Linked DNA regions of Arabidopsis thaliana. The protein of the gene in region 1 interacts with the protein of each later gene in a biochemical or structural test. Each region holds a gene or a part of one and is shown on either strand. Other genes may lie near its edges.

Region 1 (6,217 bases):
ATAGAAGATTATATATACAAGTCATCAGAATGCAATGATACTTCTGTCTCATGTATATCATATTCAAATGAAACACTGAGAAAAGCTTACCCGTATTCATCAAAATATCCACCGCGACCTTCAGTTCCAAAATCTTCTCTGAAAACGATCTGCAAAAAGAAATTAGAGATTTATGTGGATGGATTCAACTCTATACAAAAGTTTAGAAATATTTGTGCTAAGCGATCAAACTCTCACCTGTACGTTTGCAATATTGTCGCGGTTCCATAGTGGCAAAAACAAGCGATTGGCAAACCGAAGAACCAACTGCACTAACGATGAATGCGTTAGATTATATCTTTATTTGTCTAAATTAATAAACTAATGACTAGAAGCAAATATGTGTTACCATGTTTTGAACTAACTCTTTTCCCAGATAGTGATCAATACGATAAATCTGTGGTTCTTCAAACAAGGCTCCAATCTGAGAACTCAGCTGCTCTGCAGATTCCAAATCCTTTCCAAATGGTTTCTCAACAACAATCCTAGTCCATCCACCAAGATCAGCTGGAAACAATATACATTTCCAATGAAGTTATTACCAAATATTCTCTATCTAATAATGTTAACAAAATCTAACAGTAAACTCACATTTGTTAGTGCACCATGCCTTGATCATCTTGCTTACAGGAGGGTATACAGACGGAGGAAGTGCAAGATAAAACAATCTCCTCGAAGATCCTTCAGCAGTCTTTTTAGATATCTCGTGCTCCAAAATCGCCTTGTCTAATCTCTTAAACCCTTCCTCAGAATCATAAGGTCCACTCACATACTTAATCTATACAAGAAAATTGTATTTTCAGTTACCAAAAACAAACGGGACTATAACTGTGTAAATGAAACAGACTAACCAGCTTTAGAAACTTGGACAAAGCTTCTGTTTTCTTAGATGCATTCTTCTCATCAACAAGATATCTACATAAAACATGATAATATAAGCTTTTCATTGTGTCAGATGCAACAAAAAGGCGGACCGGATCGGATCATCTAACCCGCGGATTTTATCTCTAAGCTCCTCATCAGTAATCTTACTCCTTGCATATCCAAATATATGAACTTCATCTGGATTAAGAAATCCCTGTGCTCATGTAAAACCAATAAACACATCAAATAAATAAAAACAAGTGACATTGAAAACAATAAAAGATAAAAAAGATTCTTGTTTGTTTAAAAAAACCTGATGAAATAGATTGAAAAGTGCAGGAAAAGTCTTCTTCTTAGCAAGATCACCAGAAGCACCAAGAACAATGATAGAGAGACTCCCAGTTTCCGTGACTGGATTGTATTCTTTTACAAACGAATCATTCTTTAAAGTAGACCTCTTCTCCATATGCCATTGACCAGAACCCATCTTCCAATAGTTTTTTAACACTCTAACCAAAATACAGAACAAACCTGTAAAATTGAAGTTTAGTGAAATTGGAATCATTGTGTTACGATTGATTGATTGGTTAATCATGAAATCAAAGATTACTTGTGAAATTATAACATTTTCCAACAATTCGAGTCTCATGAAGATGATAAAGATTCTTAACTTAGGCTATAACATAACTGCGAAAATAAAACACAGAATCAATACGAAAATTGAATGATAAGTAATTTGTATGGATCAGATTTCGTCGAGAAATCAAACGGATCAACAAAGATTACGAGAAGAGATCTCTCTACCTGCGACGGTGGCGACAAAATTTTCACTAGTTTGGAGAATTTTGTTATGGGGTGGAGTTTGATAGTTCGAATTTTTATATAGATAAATTAGAAAGCTGATGATTAAAAATAAAGGGACTGTTTGTAAATGGATAGTAGTGAAACTAATATTATAATTACGTGAAACCATTAAGGGAATTATTGTAAGGTTAGTTTAATGGAAAGTGGTAATGATCAGATATGCTGAGATATTTTTTGGAAACGAAAAAGTCAAAAAGAATAAATGCGACGTTGTTTTTTTTCCCAATAATTTACGAGTTTCATATTCATTTTTGACCGTTAGATTTCACCTGCCCAACAAGGCAACAACTACTATCATTTTTTTTTTATCAGCCACCACAAAATAGTGTTTTTTTTTTTTTTTGGTGAGTACCACAAAATAGTGTTAACACAAAATGTCTTTAACCCAATTGACATAATTAGTGTTATATACTAATTCATGCAATAAATCGTCATTGTTTGTTATAATACCAAATTCATTCATCTAATATAACGTAGCGCAATGCATTCATTTAGTTTCTTCTACTTTGGAACGAGACAGGTAAGAAAACGCTATAATGAAAGTAACTTTTAGGCCCAAGAAATCCAAATGAGCCAAGATATTAAAAGCCCATACCGACACAATAAGATTGCTACTGTGAAGTGATGCCGACACACTGGAACTGTCACTTTTCAAAGGTAACATGTTTCTTGTTATGTGAGAAACAAAGTGAAATCACATTTTAAACCACTTAGGCTTTGTGGTCTTCTTCTCTGTGGATTTACGCTCGTGTTCAACAGGTACAGCACTAGAGTCAACCGTGGCTGGCTCTGATGACGATTCAACCGGTTCCACGGCTTTGGTCATGGCCTCTAAATCTTTCAGTGACAAAATCTCTTCATTAAGATAAGGAGTTGAACTACCACCATCATCTGCAAAAAAACCATTGGGTTTTTTAAAGATAAGTTCAGAACACAGTCCTCTTCACAACAAATTCTTTAGTATGTAAGGGGAATCAATATTATACCTAATTTAACCAGCTTTCTAAGATTAGTATTCCCTATGTATTCACATGATCCTAAACTTCTTATCAAACTATTTCATTCCTAAGTTTGAAAGTTTCTGGACAATTCCTCGTGCAGTTTAGTTATCCATCCCTCAAAAAGATCTCACTTACTAAATCTATAATCCCGTACATATCGCAATGCAAAAAAGTTCCCCAGAGAAAGACTATGGTATTGGGTGAAGGTAATGACAGAAACTAACCTTTAGGTTGATCGTTTGAAAAGTAGACAATGGCTCCAGGAACAAACCCAGCTGAGTAGAAGTCTTGTGAGAAATCTTTTATCTGTTTCTTGGGAGGAGTTGTATCTGACAAAAAGATGGCACGTTATCAAGTTTTCTTCTCTTGACAAATGTAAAATCTGAAATCTGAGTGATGGAAACATACACAAGTAGAAAGGAACATCTGGGTGGGCAACTACTCTTTTGACAAGATCAATCAAGCCTTGGATCTTTTCTGATGGATGAAATGTTGCCTCCAATGTGTGATTATCAGGAAAACGAACCCGGATTACAGCCTAGACAGTATCAATCTATAGATAGTCAGTGGGATAAAACTAGTTCCCAAACATGAAACCAATAGTAAAAAGAACCTTAGTGAGCTTTGATCGACGAGCAGCTTCTTCTGCTTCCCGGATTTTTCTTGTCTTCAACGATTTATCTTTTGTATAAGTAATTTAACATTACATGTTAGAAGAATTAAACAACCAAGGTACTGATTTCTTTAGAGCAAGCAATACATTCCGATTATGACAAACACAGTTGGATTTGATCAAAGATTTGCAAAATTTTCATGGAAATGGCTGAAGAATGTAAACTAAACCATACAGATTCTTCAGAACATGTTACCTTCTTTCTTAGTAGCCAAAAGGCGGTAAAAATCTGCAGGTGTGAACTCGTAGAAATCATCAGATTCATCGTCTGTGGAATTTTCATAAACAATCAATCACAAGACTTGTTCAAATTCAGATCAAATGCAATATAAGAATCAGAGATCCAAAAAAGTTACCAGCACTAGAAACTTGACTTGGTCTCTGTGAGATACTCGAAGTCTCGAAAACACGAACCTCTCGCCCTAATTTCTCTCGCATATCAGCAATTTTAGCCTAATTTTACGAAAATCCATCAAATAAATATTGAATTCGACTCAAGAAATGGAAAAACCCTAGAAAACTTTGCGGGAACCCCCAAATATAGAAGAAGAAGAAACAGAAAAATTTCGGATCAAATGAAAATCGAAATGGAAGTAGGAATCAGATGATATAGATCAATGAGGGAGAAGAAGAAGAAGAATGAAGTTAGACCTGAGCTGAAGAAGAAGCTTCCATGGAATCGGTGATCTCGAGTCGTCTGCGTTTCAAGGTGTGTAGAGAAGGGTCATCAACAAACATCAGACCCGGTTCAAGTTATTCTTTACTTGCTCGCTGCAAATCCACCGTCTATATACCGGAGGCGCTTTTGTTTTAGGTGATTTTCAATTTAAGCACAGTATGTTTTGTTTTTTTTACAGATAAGCCCTCTTTCTTATTTTCATTTTTTTGACCCCTCTTTCTTCTATCTAATTTTTCCCCAAGTAAACCACAAGTCTTAAAGACTTAAACTATTAAACAAAATGAAATGTATGAAATAAACTATTTTTTTTTGTTGAAATGTCAAATTTATAAATCAACAAAATAATTTATATACAACTTAATCCATATAACAAAAAAATCAAAAAAAAAATTAAAATAAAAAACATTGGCATCTCTCATAATCTAAACCAATATTAAAAAATCTCAGAGATTTGGAGTCTCAAAAAAATATAGAGAAATTTTGTGTTCTTCATTTTGTAAGTGCAAGATGTAGTAGATAAATATCTGAAATGCCAAAATAATAAAAAGATAAGTGAGCAAGTTAAACAAGTGAAATGGTAAAATGATGAAGTTTGGTCGTCTAATCAACGATCAGGTGAATTTTCTAGCAAATCACCATTATTCATTCAAACCATATATGTAAGGTTTTAAGCATAAGCAACATAAACAGCTCAAGATTCAGTGCGATTGTTGAATTTTCGAACCTTATGTCTAGTTTTGTTATTTCGAAACTCATGATAGATTAATGAATTTTTGAGAAATATTTATTACAAAAGAGAAAAATATTTAGTTTTGTCTTATTCATTTGTAATATATAAACATTAAATTATTTTGAAAAATACAAAGAAATAAATGTAATCATTTTGTACATGGCATATCGACAAGAAATGTTATTACATAAATATGTGCCATCTAGGTTGTACAAAATAAAAGTATTTACCCACCTGAAATTAATAAAGTACCAACCATTAAAAGGAAAAAATAAAACCTTTAAAGAAAAGTATTGTGCTACGAAAATGAAAATTTATTAATCTGATAGCCTCTTCCCACCTAAGCTTCTTCTTTGCTTATTTTAATTTTATCTTTTTGTTGTATCCTTCTTGTCTCTATTAACGCTCATCTTTCACCTTCAAGCTCTAAATCGAAGCAATCTTCACACTCCACAAACCCTAATTTCAATGCAATCGCAATTCACCATCTCAATCTCTCTTCATCTTCCTCTATCCATGGATCCATAAATCTCTGTAACCTCACAAAAGGTGTTTCCAATGCCAAGCGTTGGTGTGAAGCTCTACAGTGTCTTCTTCAAGTTCCTTTTGAAACACCGTTTACAAAACCGGATTCAATCTTCCGGTGATGAATCTTCCTCGGATCCATTTGGTGTCACGACCCGACCCGAAGAATCCGTCGCTGCTCCGAATCCGTTATTCACCGACGGTGTTGCAACCAAAGATATTCATATCGATCCGTTAACTTCTTTATCTGTACGAATTTTTCTTCCGGAATCTGCTCTTACGCCGCTTGAACCGAGTACCTCCGCCTGTGTTTATTCCGGTAAGGCTCGAACTCTCAACAACATCGCCGGATCGGATCTTCTTAGTAGGAGAAATAGCTTAGGTTCGTCTAATTCGTTGTTGTCTCATAAGGTAGAATCTAGAAGGAACAGTTACGGTTACACCACTGGTTCGTCCTCCCCTGAGGCAGGATCCTCCGACGTGTATAGAGGATACGCACCGTCGTCGTCGGGTGGAAACTCTAGAAAACTTCCTGTGATGTTGCAGTTCCATGGTGGTGGATGGGTAAGTGGAAGTAATGACTCAGTGGCTAATGATTTCTTTTGTAGAAGGATGGCGAAGCACTGTGACATCATTGTTTTGGCAGTCGGGTACAGGCTTGCGCCTGAGAATCGGTATCCTGCTGCGTGTGAGGATGGGTTCAAGGTGTTGAAATGGCTGGGGAAGCAGGCGAATTTGGCTGAATGTAATAAGTCGATGGGAAATTCTCGACGACCTGGAGGTGAGGTGAAGAAATCAGAAGTTAATAAGCATATAGTTGATGCTTTTGGTGCTTCCTTGGT
Region 2 (7,582 bases), 7.1 Mb from region 1:
CTAAAAAGCGACCTACTAGAGAGGAACGGGAGAGAAACAAAAGCAATGGGAAGAAGAGTTCTTATGCTGATCAACCTGTATCATTTGTGTCAAGTGGCATAATCGATTCTGAGATAGCTGTTGCAAAAACCTCAGTTGAAAAAGTTGCAAAAGAGGTAGCTGAAACTACTCCGGGAACCTCTAATGGAGCAGACATTGGAGCATTTGAGGTACATACCAGAGGTTTTGGATCCAAAATGATGGCTAAAATGGGATTCATAGATGGAGGTGGTCTAGGAAAGGATGGTAAGGGGATAGCACAGCCAATAGAAGCTGTTCAGCGTCCGAAATCACTTGGGTTAGGTCTGGATTTCTCCATTGACACTGAAGACCCGAGTCCGTCAAGTAATAACAATAACAACGCTAAACGGAACAGATCTTCGTCCTCCGGGAAACATGGGAAACGCATCACCCATGACAATGGTGCCTCTGGTTCAGGAAGAATCAGGGACAAAAGATTGGGAGCCTTTGAGCAGCACACAACAGGCTTTGGGTCGAGGATGATGGCGAGAATGGGTTTCGTCGAAGGCTCGGGTCTGGGTAGAGAGTCACAAGGCATAGTCAATCCGCTGGTCGCTGTCAGACGTCCTAGAGCACGTGGAATAGGTGCTGAAGGCTAAACATTGAAGTATTTAACGGTCAATGTTTGAACAAGAACAGTAAGATATCGTTTTTAAGTATGTTCATCTTCAATCTTCAACATGTGGCCTTTGTTCAATTTATGTTTAAGACTTGGGAGCAGCTTTGTTGTTATCTTGACATCAATGTTGTTGACATAATAAAGCATCCTTTCTTTTGGCTTCTTTAACCACCATTGATGCAAAAAAAAATACATCCTCGGCTCCAAGATTCTATAAAAGAAAGTACCGATCTTAGAGCATTAACATTGATATGCGGAAATTGCTGATAAGTGGGAACATTTGTGATACTTACCACTTATAAAGCAATTACTTATCACTTGCAATCTTTTTAACTTACTTTATAATCCTTTATTTTTTCCATTTGTAATGAACGACCAAACAAGTATTGAAACGAAAATTAAGAACATTGATTAAAACCCAAACACAAGAGATTCGGATAACTTAAAAACACGAGGAAAGAATCAGTATCACTTTCCCCAGTAATCCAAAAGTAGAGAATTCGAGTTTTAAAACTTAAAAAAAAAAAGGATAAAGAAGTTATCACTAATTGTAGAGATCATCATCGTCCCCAGCAGCGGCTGCAGACGTGGCAAACGGATCTGCGACTCCAGTGGTGGCACCTGAACCAGCAGAATTCTCGAACCTGAACTCAGAACCGAACCCTCTAGACTGCTGCAACGTCTGAGCAAAGGCTTGGTACTTCCTGATGTCTGCATCACTCACACTCCTACGCGCATACTTCATCGACTCCTCAAAGTGTGCAGCTTTGATCTCTGATACTTCATCCACTCCATCTTCCTCCATTGCCTCTGGGTTCTCGCTCCTCCTCTTCTCCTTTTCAATGTCCTGAAACAAAAAAAAAACATGAGCTTCAGTTCAACGATTGGAGAGTATAACAATCTTTGGATAAAGAGCTTGGCGATGGGATCTCTAACCTTCTCAATGTTTTCTCTGATGGCGTACTTGCAAGCTCTCTGGCAAATCTCAGTGATATCAGCACCACTGAAACCCTGAGTGTATTTAGCAAGTGCACCGATGTCTACATCTTTAGCAATAGGAGATTTCCTCAAGGCGGCCTTGAAGATATTGAGACGGGAATCCTCATCTGGTAGTGGAATGTAAATGAGCTGGTCAAGCCTTCCAGGACGGAGAAGAGCTGAATCGATAATGTCAGGTCTGTTGGTAGCTCCGATGATGAAGACGGTTTTCTTGGCATTCATTCCGTCCATCTCAGTCAAAAGCTGGTTCAAGACTCTGTCCGCAGCACCACCTCCATCGCCACCACTTCCACCTCCTCTCTGAGTTGCAATGGAGTCGAGCTCATCAAAGAAAAGAACACATGGAGCGGATTGACGGGCCTTGTCGAAGATTTCACGAACATTTGCTTCACTCTCTCCAAACCACATTGTCAGAAGCTCGGGACCCTTGACACTGATGAAATTAGCTTGGCACTCGTTGGCAATAGCTTTGGCCAAAAGGGTTTTCCCACATCCAGGAGGACCGTAGAAAAGGACTCCCTTTGATGGAGACATCCCGAATTTCTCAAACTTCTCTGGGTGCTCGACTGGGTATTGAACAGTCTGCATTTGAACAATCACACGGCTCAGGTTACAAATTACAATTAATAGACAGACCCAAGCAAAAGTAAATATTAGCAATTTACCTCCTGGAGCTCTCTCTTGACATTCTCAAGACCTCCAATATCATTCCAAGAGACGTTGGGAACCTCCACAACCTGCAAAGCAAAGAAGAAAATTTGGAATGAGATTTACGCAAAGATACAATCTTTGATCTCGTTCTAAGCAGAGTACTGTCAATACTCACAGTTTCACGAAGTGCAGATGGGTTGCTGTTCCCGAGAGCAGTGTGGAAATGTTCATTAGTGACTGCCATGGAATTGAGGATTTCAGCGTCTATGGAGTCATCTTCCAGATCAATCACATCCATCTTCTCCCTGATGCATTGCAGGGCGGCCTCTGTGCACAAAGCTGCAAGATCAGCACCGACGTAACCGTGTGTGTCCTTTGAGATCCTTTCGAGATCCACCTGGAAAACAACCACAAGAAGAATTTAGCATTCAATAAACATTACACTCAACAAACACAGAAAAAGCTATGACTAGAAAATTACATCTTCAGCCAGCTTCATGTTCTTTGTATGGATCCTCAGAACTTCAAGACGTCCAATTTCGTCAGGAACTCCAATATCGATCTCCCTGTCAAATCTTCCAAACCTTCTCAAAGCTGGGTCGATACTGTTGGGGCGATTGGTTGCTCCCATGACGATAACATGAGCACGAGATTTCAGTCCATCCATTAGCGTAAGGAGCTGAGAGACAATCCTCCTCTCAACCTCTCCATTAGTCTTCTCTCTTTTCGGTGCAATAGAGTCGATCTCATCAATGAATATGATTGAAGGCGCATTTTTCTCAGCCTCCTCGAATGCTTTCCTGAGGTTGCTCTCACTCTCACCAGCCAATTTGGACATGATCTCAGGTCCGTTGATACAGAAGAAAAAGGCACCCGTTTCATTAGCCACAGCACGAGCGATCAAAGTCTTTCCAGACCCAGGTGGTCCATAAAGAAGAATTCCCTTCGGTGGCTTAACACCAATCGACTTGAATAGCTGTGGATGCCTCAAGGGAAGTTCAACAAGTTCCCTAATCTGAGCCATCTGTTTCCTGACACCACCAACATCATCATAACCTACATCATCTAGCCTTTCTTCATCCTCTCTCTTCACAGGCTCACCCTCACAGAAAATCTCTGTGTCTGGAGCAACCACGCAGTACTCAGCAGGATCTGTCTCTATAACTTTGAACTCCACACTCCTCATTCCTCCTCTGACTAGGAAGAGATCACCCTTCCTCACTGGACGGTATGCCTCAAGGAAATAAGCTGTTGAAAAGAATTCAATCTTTGTTAAGAAATCACTCTAATAATATCTCAAACCAAACAAGAACATCCAAAGAAAAATCAAAATTGCATAACTGGATAAGGATCTAAAACAAAAAGGCAACTTACGTTTCAGGTAAGCATCAAATAGGTTTCCAGTCACTCCTTCAACAGTATCATCAACAGGCAGGATGTGAACACGCTTTCCGTACTTGACGTCTGGGCATTGGTGAACAGATATAACATCTCCCAGTCTAACCCTCAAGTTAGATCTGACTACTTTATTCATTCTGATCTTTGGCTCCTCACATGTCTCATCAGCAAGAGCAATGCAGACAGTGTCCTTCCTCTTCTTACCCTGAAAGCCAAAATCCAAACCAAATAAGAACTCATAAAGACTACTAATACGAATCATTCACCAAGACAGGATCAGTACAAAAGCAAGTCTTTTTATTTTGTATAATACCTAAGATCATAAATCACTTGTTTCAAAAGACCACAAACCCTAGTTTATGTAGAACCACATAAGAATCCATTAATCAAGCAAGGAGAAAAAACCCTAAATTATGTCTCTTCATAGAGACAGAAACCAACCATTCAATATCTCAATCAAAAGAGAATCCAAACAAACAAAAGCAAACCCAAACCTTGATGAGAATGGTATCACCACGGAAGAGCTGAAGCTTCTCCATGGTTGCAGGGTGAAGAGAGACGACGGAGTTATCATCGTTGATAGCCTCATCGACGACGAGACGGTTCGGAGACTTCTTCCTCTCGAGAATAGCAGTACTGAAATCTTTCTTCGATTTCCTGTAACAACAACAAAGAAGATTAAGATTCAACTATAGAAACACAAGATCAACCAAAACCCTAATCCCCAAAATCGAAAAACCCAGACTTTAAGAAGATCCGAAAAAAATCCCGATCGGAAAACCAAAATCAGAGATCTGGGTACTTACGAGTCTGAAGATTCAGCTGGGGTAGACATGATTGAGTTTGAGATTAACGAAAGAGTTCCCTGAGAAATCGAAGAAAGTTGAGAGCTTTTTCTTCTTCTTTGGTTTCTTCTCTGAGAGAGAGAGAGAGATGGATTTGTGATAATGGGATCTGAAAGAGCACAGATTTTCTCTAATTATATCTCTCTACGTTTCTTGTTGGAAAAGAGAGCTCTTTTTTTTTCCTTTATTCTTATTTTCCTTTTTGTTTCTTATCTTCTAGTAATATCAAACCGACCCCTATTGTTTTACTTTTCCCAAATATTCACCCTATTTATGTTATGTGATTAGAATTCTAGAAACTTCTTTTTCGTTCAATTTTTTCCTCCATTCCACAAGCAATATCAATTTCCTACCTATCGACTAATATTCTTTTTCCAACTACTTCTCCCAAATTTCAGTAGTCCTCCAGACCTTAAAGCCCATAATTATTTTCATTTTATTTATGTTTGTGATTTACTTATGGTAATTAATAGGAACTCTTAACACATTACCACAAATATACACTTAAGCACGAGTAGATTGATCAGCTTTGGAACAAAACTCTGATAAGCCGTTCTTGCTTAATATACATATCTTACTAATTTAGCTGTGGTTACTATTCATAAGTTCATACAAAAATCATATTTCATCATTTTAGAATCTTTCACAAATCTTCATATATAATTATCTTTATGTATGTATATGAGCTTCATCTTGATCTCGCTAGAATCTTCAACCTTCGGAATCTCCATGAAACCTTTCTTGACTCTTTTTTTTGCTGTAAGAAGAGGTTGAATTCTATAAGCAGTCAACAAGCTCTTATTGTCTTTGGATTCCATAACTTGCCAAACCAACCTCCTTCACCGCCACCACCATTGTTCTTTCCTCTCGCGTCTCTCGAAGCTTTTACACTGTTCAGCGGAACTAGCTGTGGGCTGCCATTTCCTGAAGAAGCTTCCACAATTTTGTTCACCATCTCTAAAACCTCACTCATCTTGGGACGTGCCTTTGAGTTCCTAACCAAACATCTGTTGGCCACAACTGCTAGCTTTTGAACCGATTTGATCGGGTACTTCCCTTCCAGCCTTGGATCTAATATGAGCTTGAACTTCCTTGTGTCAGATAAATAAGGTCTCACCCATTCTAGAAGCTTCTGCTCTCCCTTGGGTCTGTTTCTGTCCACCGGTCGCCTCCCAGTGATAAGCTCATAGAGGAAGACTCCATAACCCCACACATCGCTTTTCGATGTGAGACGGCCGGTTTGAATGTATTCAGGTGCTGCATAACCCATTGTACCTACAACCTAATAAAGCCAAAGAAACCCGTTCAAAAACATACCTGTTTTTCAATCTTGCAACCAAAAGAAGTGAATGCAGAACTTACATCAGTAGAAACATGGGTTAATCCTTCAGATGGACCTAAACGAGCCAAACCGAAATCTGAGAGCTTTGCTTTCCAGTCCTCATCCAAAAGAATGTTCGAGGACTTGAAATCGCGGAATATTATCTGAAAAGCCAATAAATAAAAGTTAGTCAAGAGAGTGAAATGAGATCAGTAACGTAGCAGAGTCATCATATTACCTGAAACTCCATTTCTTCATGCAGGTATGTTAATCCGCGAGCTGCATCTTGGGCGATTCTCAGTCTGAGGTCCCAAGTAAGAACTGTGAGTGACCGAGGGGATAAGTGGAATTCAACACTTCGGTTAGGCATGTATTCATAAACCAAAAGCCGTTGGATTCCACGTTCATCATCTTCTGCACAATAGCCAAGCAATTTCACCAAGTTTGTATGCTCAACTATTCCGAGGAAGTTCACTTCCGTAACCCATTCCTTATGCCCCTGCAACATCCAAGAAATGAGATAATAGTGTTAAACCAGTGGATGAGTAACAGATCTTGAGAACAAGATTGGAAAAAACAGACATACCTGCAACCCTCTTTTACCGAGCTGCTTCACTGCGACTTCGATTTTAACTGACGAGTCCTCTAAGTTCCTCACTGTGCCCCTGAAGACACAACCGAAACCGCCTTCTCCAATCATAACAGATCGGCTAAAGTTCTTTGTTGCAGACTTGAGATCAGTAATGCTGAACTCTCTGAGATTACTTGCTCTAGTAGACACCGGAGGGTACGAGTTCTTCCTCCCCATGGATGATTCTGTGCTCGTCCCAGAGACATCACGAGAGTTGAACTCTGACCCGCTTCGGTTTATTTCGCGGTCAGAGAAGATAGAGGTCAATGAAACCGAAATAGGGGTCTTCTGTTCCCCTCTCTTATCCCCACCAGAGAACAAGAAACACTTCATTATCGAGAGGAGATTAAAATACCGATGTTTGTCCACTGCAGGACACCAATAAAACACTGATAATGATCATATAACATATACCGAACCACAAAATCAAAACCATTGAAGCATATTATCGAACAACTAATCTGCAAAGTACAAGCATTTCCAAAGTTAAGGCTTCCCCCAAGTACAAAACCACTTAACAGAGAGGAAGGCCTTTAGACCCAACAGATCCAAATTCTTTTCCAAGTAACACAAACCCTAAGTTCCAGTGAGTAATAGAAGGGATCTCGAAGCTAAAAGTAATCAAATTTCGCAAGTTGATTCCAATAAACTAAAACCCAACAGCAACATAAAGAACTTTGACTTATTGAACAAGTATATAAAAAGCAAAAGATGACACAACTCTCACCTTTGAATTTACTTTGTATACAGAAAAAAATCAGAACAGCTATCAGAAGAAGATGTAATTCAATCGTCAGAAGAGAAGGAAGATTATAATTATCATGAAGTGGTTAATGAATCACGATACAAAAGAGATCGAGGATTTGAGAAGCTAAGCTTCCGAGAGAAATGGATTTTAAGAAGCTAAGCTTCCGAGAGAAAGAGGTCGAAGAAGAAGAGGAAGAAGAAGTCGTCACACGGCAACAAAAAAAAAACGAAGTCTTTACAGAGAGAGATAGCTAAAGTCAGCGAAAGAACGAAGAACTGAGAATTTAAATTGGACAAAACAAATGAATTAT

Evidence for each region. The genes of interacting proteins can lie anywhere in the genome.
Region 2: the proteins of PUX1 (region 1) and CDC48 form a complex in vitro, tested with the Arabidopsis thaliana proteins (one study listed by BioGRID).

The regions. Positions count from the first base shown.
Region 1 is NC_003074.8:10,084,899-10,091,115, forward strand, and holds PUX1 (plant UBX domain-containing protein 1), read right to left. Parts: upstream 4,363-6,217; 5' UTR 4,180-4,362; coding exon 4,093-4,179; intron 3,895-4,092; coding exon 3,798-3,894; intron 3,710-3,797; coding exon 3,638-3,709; intron 3,450-3,637; coding exon 3,382-3,449; intron 3,307-3,381; coding exon 3,177-3,306; intron 3,098-3,176; coding exon 2,993-3,097; intron 2,659-2,992; coding exon 2,462-2,658; 3' UTR 2,208-2,461; downstream 1-2,207. Other genes in the region: G6PD5 (glucose-6-phosphate dehydrogenase 5), read right to left, coding at 91-149, 238-306, 389-546, 631-817, 891-954, 1,032-1,117, 1,217-1,434, 1,708-1,876; AT3G27320 (alpha/beta-Hydrolases superfamily protein), read left to right, coding at 5,409-6,217. UniProt on the Arabidopsis thaliana protein: Regulates CDC48A by inhibiting its ATPase activity and by promoting the disassembly of the active hexamer.
Region 2 is NC_003074.8:3,016,474-3,024,055, reverse strand, and holds CDC48 (cell division cycle 48), read right to left. Parts: upstream 4,808-7,582; 5' UTR 4,563-4,807; coding exon 4,534-4,562; intron 4,385-4,533; coding exon 4,222-4,384; intron 3,933-4,221; coding exon 3,704-3,932; intron 3,578-3,703; coding exon 2,811-3,577; intron 2,727-2,810; coding exon 2,505-2,726; intron 2,416-2,504; coding exon 2,344-2,415; intron 2,261-2,343; coding exon 1,616-2,260; intron 1,527-1,615; coding exon 1,224-1,526; 3' UTR 1,004-1,223; downstream 1-1,003. Other genes in the region: AT3G09850 (D111/G-patch domain-containing protein), read left to right, coding at 1-659; AT3G09830 (Protein kinase superfamily protein), read right to left, coding at 5,360-5,854, 5,935-6,057, 6,132-6,392, 6,480-6,857. UniProt on the Arabidopsis thaliana protein: Probably functions in cell division and growth processes. Interacts with certain SNAREs as part of specialized membrane fusion events where vesicles from the same organelle fuse (homotypic fusion).